Linked DNA regions of Ovis aries. The protein of the gene in region 1 interacts with the protein of each later gene in a pairwise test. Links are inferred from orthologs where the notes say so. Each region holds a gene or a part of one and is shown in the gene's direction. Other genes may lie near its edges.

Region 1 (2,980 bases):
GGGTTACTCAGCTAAATTCACCCAGCAGCAAAGTTGGAATCCGAGGTCTTTCCCCAGGCGGGAGCCGGGAACTAGAGAGTTGGGGAGGGGGGCGGTGAAGAAACCTCTCAAGCAGCCCGAGCTGTGGGCCTGGTGGAGAGATTCCCACGTGTGGGGCCGGGAGGTAAGGTGACCCTTGCTCAGCGACCGCGCCCGCGACGAGCGTATCCCCAGGTTTCCCACTCGAGGTCTGCAGGTGACTGGCCGGGCTGGGGGTAGCTAGGGAGCGCTGAGGCCCGGTTTGCCGTCTCCATGGCGACCGCCCTCACGGCGCCAGCCTGACAGCCCGTCCGGGTTTTATGAATGGGTGACGTCACGGGCCTGGCGTCTAACGGTCTGAGCAGCTTGTTCAGACGCTGACACAGAGCAGCCCCGGGAGTGGGGGGTTGGGGGGGGGGGGGGGGGGGGGACGACGAGAGCTCCGCAGCTGCCGCGCCGTGGGAGGGAGACCCTGATCCCAGCGGTCTTTGGGGGAAAAAAGCCAAAAAGGGAGAAAAAAAAATTTAATTACTTAATGATGCAGATTTGGGGCTGCAAATTCAGGGGAGAAATCAGGGAAGACAGCCCACTCTGGGTGCCTTTTTCTTGCTCAGGTCCCAGGGGCCCAAGCCTCCAGTAGTGAAGGAAGTTTTTCCAGAATTAATTGCTCCCATCCTGAGGTGCCTGGGTAAGCCTGCCCGGTCCCAGGAATAGTCACCAGCAGCGTTCTCTGGGAATTGGGAAAGGAGAACGCCCCCCGCCTCCCGGGGGTGGACAGAGTGTAGAGGGCCAGTTTAAATATCAGCTCAAATATTGGGAAGATCAGAGTCTCAAAGGTAATCTTCCAATAGGGTCCAGAAGCCCAGGCTGCTTCTCCATCGGGACCTCAGTTTCGCTCATCTGTAAAATGGGGCTGGAGAAATGAGAACATATCCCTGAAAAAACTGATTCTTGGAATCTTTTCGTGATCAGTAATAACCGGTTTCGCCTTCTGGGCAGCCCTCGCCTCCACTAGCTATCTTATTCCCCCGCCTCCCACTCTCTCTGTTCCTGCGACTCAAGTTGCTTTTCCACGCGGGTGAGGGTGCTCTCTCTAGGGGAGCAGGAGGCAGGACCCAGAAGCCCTCCAGGCCACGCCTTTAAGCCTTCCATTGGCTGTTTTTGAACATCTGAGCCCGCCCCCTAAGGAAGGGGCGGGGAGGCGCGCGGCATCTTTATAAAAGTCGGGTTGGGGTGCTTGAGTTGCGCTTTTGCACTGCAGGCTTCTTTGCGTCCGCGACTTTTTCCCCACTACCGGCGTCCTCTTCCTCCTCCGTCCGCTTCGTTTTCTCCCGAAGCCGGCATCATGAAGGTCGCCAGTGGCAGCGCCGCGGCCGCCGCGGGCCCCAGCTGCGCGCTGAAGGCCGGCAAGACGGCGGGCGGCGCGGGCGAGGTGGTGCGCTGCCTGTCCGAGCAGAGCGTGGCCATCTCGCGCTGCGCGGGCGGCCCCGGGGCGCGCCTGCCGTCCCTGCTGGAGGAGCAGCCGGTCAACGTGCTACTCTACGACATGAACGGCTGCTACTCGCGCCTCAAGGAGCTGGTGCCCACCCTGCCCCAGAACCGCAAGGTGAGCAGGGTGGAGATCCTCCAGCACGTCATCGACTACATCTGGGATCTGGAGTTGGAGCTCAACTCGGAATCCCGCGTCGGGACCCCCGGGGGCCGGGGGCTCCCCGCCCGGGCTCCGCTCAGCACTCTCAATGGCGAAATCGGCGCCCTGGCAGCAGAGGTGAGGTCCGAGTTGGAGTAGGAGATCACTTTTCTTCTACGGAAGGGGACACTTGAGGCTCAGAGCGGGAGGGAGTGCTTGACCCTATATGCGCCCCATCCTTTCGGGCACCTAGGTGCTCAAGGATGCGATCGTTAAAAAAAACAACTCTTATCTTTTCACAGGCGGCGTGTGTTCCAGCGGACGATCGTATCTTGTGTCGCTGAAGCGTCGCCCTTGGGAGCCGGCAGACCCCAGCCCTCCAGGGGGCGAGAAGAATAAGTGCTCTCCGGTCCTTCCAGGCGCCTCGCCGGAGCTGGGGAGGAACAAGACCGATCGGCGGCCACCGGGGCGCTTGCAGGATCCAGCCCGGGTCTGGGGGACTGACAGGGCAGGCTGACTCTCACCCACCAGCCACCAGAGACTTGGGGGAGTCCCCCCTCGTGTGTTTCTATTTTTTGAAAAGCGGACATTTAAAAAATGGTCACGTTTGGTGCTTCTCAGATTTCTGAGGAAATTAATTGCTTTGTATTGTATATTACAATGATCACCGACTGAGAATATTGTTTTACAATAGTTCTGTGGGGTGTTGTTTTCTTTTTTGGTTGTTGTTATTAAACAAATACTTTAGATGGTGATAAAGCTGCAGTGACTTCTTGGATTGATGGGAGGGACCTGGGCTGGCGGTGACCCCTGACCCTTTTCACAGCTGCTGCTGGGGGAGGGGACGGGAAGGCCACATCTGGACGGTCGCTTTTACCGACCTGAAATGAGTGTTTCCGGTGTCTTTAAAATCTATTCCCCCCCCCCACCCCGCCCCATCCCTGGCCATTTCCCCCTCTCCCCAGTGTCATAAAATTAAATCCTTCAGACTTTTAAGGTTTCTCAAAGTGGTCCTGGGGCCATCTGGGTCACCTGGGGAGGTTGTCAAATGCAGATCAATCTGCCAAGGCCCCCTCTTGGGTTGAAGAGTATCAACAAGTCGGTTACTTGGGAGAACCAGGTCACTGGACCTGCATGTTGGCTTAAATGGGGATAGTGAGAACCTCAGCTTGTCGGGGACAAGACTTCCAACTTGCCCCATTCCCCAGAAGGAGACGCCTCCCCCCTGGGCCACCAAACCCTGGATCCCAGCAGGCTGCCCCAGGGCTTCAGCTTTGTCCAAGTGGGTGAGCAAGTTGGCAGGACCAGACCAGTCACAGCTGCTGGGCCACC
Region 2 (3,715 bases), on another chromosome or scaffold:
AGCTTGGCTGTTTAGACTGTGGAAATGACAGGGCGGGGCAGAAAGAGGGAGAAGGGAGACGAGCCCCTGGGAAGGAGTTCATCTCTAAAACCTGGTTTCTTAGAACACAAATCTTAGAGACGCAGTCAGGGTGGATCTTCCGCCTGCGCAGGTCCATCACAGGAGGAGGCGCTCAACAAACAGGCGCAGAAGCGGGAAAGAGAGAAAGCCAGGGGTGTTCCTGGTCACCTGGCCCTCCTGTGCCCACGCCCTTCAGATGAGCAGAGAGAAAACTCAGAGCGAGCTGTTTTTGGAGAAAAGGAACCTCCCAGGTTACCCCTCAATAACACAAAGCCTACATACTGGCAATCTGATGAGAAACAAAACAGATTAAAAAAAAAATCTAGAGCCACTTCATTATTAAAAGTGCCACTTGAAGTTTTTAGCAGCTGTTATTTGGCCTACTGGCTGAAAAAATTCCTGATACAACTAAAGTTCACGAAAAAGAGAACTACCTGAAAATAAAGTTGATCCTTCACGTCTCAGATTGGGAAGGCGGGTCCGCTTTTGGTGTCAACTGAAATGGGGAGCTCTATTTACCGATTTTCTTTTTAAAAGTGAGAGCAATTGTACGAAGTTGGATTTCCTTCGTTCCTTTTGTCTGTGACACCCTCTAAGTGTCCCTTGGTTTAGGTAAAGAGTGCAAGTAAGCGGATTGGGGAGCCATCACCTCCGCCCCAGCAGAAACGCAGTAAAACCATTAGCGTCAAAAGGGGCAGTAAACAGCAAACTGTCTCTAGAGAAAAGCCGGAGGTTTGCCCAGACAGCCCTGGCGGGGGTTGCGGTGGGATATGCTAATAGTGCGGGGCCACAGGGGCCGGCCTCCCTCCCCCAAGAATATATAAAGAGCCCCAGCCCCAGCGCTGCAGACCCGGGCCGCCAGGCGTCTGCCCTTGTTAATTACCAGAGACACGGACCAGGGAGCTCGGCCCGGGATTTCCCGGCCCTCAGCGGCGCCAGGCTCCGGTTTCTCCCCTATCTATCTCGCTGCTGTCCAGGCCCACCCCCTGCCTCTCTGCAGACGATGGACATGATGGACGGCTGCCAGTTCTCGCCCTCTGAGTACTTCTACGACGGCTCCTGCATCCCATCCCCCGAGGGCGAGTTCGGGGACGAGTTTGAGCCGCGAGTGGCTGCTTTCGGGGCTCACAAGGCAGACCTGCAAGGCTCAGACGAGGACGAGCACGTGCGAGCACCCACGGGCCACCACCAGGCCGGCCACTGCCTCATGTGGGCCTGCAAAGCATGCAAGAGGAAGTCCACCACCATGGATCGGCGGAAGGCGGCCACCATGCGCGAGCGGAGACGCCTGAAGAAGGTCAACCAGGCTTTCGACACGCTCAAGCGGTGCACCACGACCAACCCTAACCAGAGGCTGCCCAAGGTGGAGATCCTCAGGAATGCCATCCGCTACATTGAGAGCCTGCAGGAGCTGCTAAGGGAACAGGTGGAGAACTACTATAGCCTGCCAGGGCAGAACTGTTCTGAGCCCACCAGCCCCACCTCAAGTTGCTCTGATGGCATGGTAAGAGATGGCTCTGTACCTGCTAGGGCTTTCCCAACTTTTGCAAAAATCCTTACATCTCATTTAGACCACTGGTGGATAGTTGGGTATTGGGGGGTGGGGCGGGGCCCACCACATTTAGAAGAGAAGAGAGATGCCACATTTGGACCGATGCCAGCACACAGACAGCTGTTGAACAGAATTTTGTCTTGACTTCCTACCTACTCTAGGTGCACACTGAAGGAGCAGGTTGTCACTTGAGATAGCTGGCTGTGAGTGATCAGTCAGATGTTTCCTCCATTACTCAGTTTATTTCCAGTATATTGCCTTCTCCAATATACTACCAGTGGACCTTGACATACACTAACATCTAAAGGCAACTGTCTGAGGCCTCCACTGCCCCACGGTTTGTAACTGAAGGGAGAAACAGAAAGAAATGCCTGCATGGCCCCAGCCCCTACTCTGCTGATGCCTGGCTGAAAGTTGTTCATGCATTCTTTTCAGAGGGCGTTTGCTCCAGCGCTGCCAGGTTTTAATGTGTTTCTGCCTTGGGAAAGTGTTCTCTCTCTGAATTAGTGTGGCTTCCTTTTACTCCAATCCATTTTGCATGGTTAACCCAGTGTACACTGCTGCTGAATTCCACCCTCTTCTTTCTGCTGCCTCTCTCCTCTTCTCCAAGCGCAGAGATTGACCTCAGTGCCCTTGCGATTGGTGAGGCTAGCCCTTCCTAAATCAAGGCAATAAAGGTGATTGAGAGTGGTCAGTTTATGGAGCTGGTGGGCAAGCACTGCCTCACCTGAGATCAGAGCACCTTTTGCCAAGACCTGAAAACAAACGCCTTTTTCTGTGTCTTTTATTATAGCCTGAATGTAACAGCCCTATCTGGTCCAGAAAGAGCAGCAGTTTTGACAGCGTCTACTGTCCTGATGTACCAAATGGTAAGAACCAATGACTTCAGAGGAGTTTAAAGACCAGTCCAACTTCAGAATTTAGCCTATCAAAGTAGAGTCTGTTCTTCCATGCAGTACTGGGAAGAGAACAGAATGGTGTTTATGGGGGTTTTGGCAGGGCAAAATAAACGCATATCTTCTGCTCAAAATCCTCCTAACAGATACATCCATGCACATACACACAGACGTGAGCTTTTGCTTGAAATATTACCCAGGTGCTTCTCCACTCCCCAACTTCATCCCCATGAATTGCTAGATATTTGTTGCAAATTTCTACCAGGCTTTCTGTGACCACCTGACCTTTGGGTTTCGAAGGAGCTGACCTGCAGTTTAAGCGGCAGCATAAGCAAGGATTTTTTTTTTTTTTTAATGGTTTTCTCCTTGTGTCCTTAGTATATGCCACGGATAAAAGCTCCTTATCCAGCTTGGATTGCTTATCCAGCATAGTGGATCGGATCACCAACTCAGAGCAACCTGGATTGCCTCTCCAGGATCCAGCCTCTCTCTCCCCAGTTGCCAGCACCGATTCTCAGCCTGCAACTCCAGGGGCCTCTAGTTCCAGGCTCATTTATCATGTGCTATGAACTAAAAGCCTAGATCAGTTCTGTCAGAAGGCCTATTACACAGGAGGAAGGAGGCACCAAAAATCCAAAAGCAAGACAACCTGTATATAAACATTGCTGTTCTGTTGTAAATTTGTAAATATTATCTTGCCACTTTATAAGAAAGTGTATTTAAAAAGTCACTATTGCAATTAATACTTTCTTTTTTTCTTCTTTTCCTTCATCTTTGCTTTAGATATATAGTTCCAATGATATTATTTCTTATAGGGGCCGTTCATCAAAGGTAGTTTGTTGCAATGCTTAACTTATATATTTTTATAAATATTGCTTATCAAAATATTACCTCTGATGTTTAGTGCTTTATTTTTTTTCTTTAAAACATTAGAATAGATATAAATCAGTTATAGGGGAGTTTTAAATATATTTAACTGTTTTGCTTTTTCTCTTTAATCCTTTGATTTATATTGTGTTAAATAAAATATAACAATACTGCCTAATGGTATATATTTTAACATTTGCTTATAAGAAATACATTTTTAATCTAGGCACAAAATAGTACTTTGTGGATGATTTCAAGATATAAGAGATTTTTGGAAACTCCACCATAAATAAAATTGTTTAAGTGAAGAAATATTTGGGTTTATGACTTTGTTAAAAGA

What was found. The genes of interacting proteins can lie anywhere in the genome.
Region 2: the proteins of ID1 (region 1) and MYF5 interact in binary tests that used the Homo sapiens proteins (3 or more experiments, as listed by UniProt). The link is inferred for Ovis aries from reciprocal best matches to the Homo sapiens genes ID1 and MYF5.

What each region holds. Positions count from the first base shown.
Region 1 is NC_056066.1:60,849,214-60,852,193, forward strand, and holds ID1 (DNA-binding protein inhibitor ID-1), read left to right. Parts: upstream 1-1,262; 5' UTR 1,263-1,363; coding exon 1,364-1,786; intron 1,787-1,950; coding exon 1,951-1,992; 3' UTR 1,993-2,407; downstream 2,408-2,980. UniProt on the Homo sapiens protein: Transcriptional regulator (lacking a basic DNA binding domain) which negatively regulates the basic helix-loop-helix (bHLH) transcription factors by forming heterodimers and inhibiting their DNA binding and transcriptional activity.
Region 2 is NC_056056.1:116,772,664-116,776,378, forward strand, and holds the start of MYF5 (myogenic factor 5), read left to right. Parts: upstream 1-906; 5' UTR 907-1,063; coding exon 1,064-1,564; intron 1,565-2,405; coding exon 2,406-2,481; intron 2,482-2,886; coding exon 2,887-3,077; 3' UTR 3,078-3,715.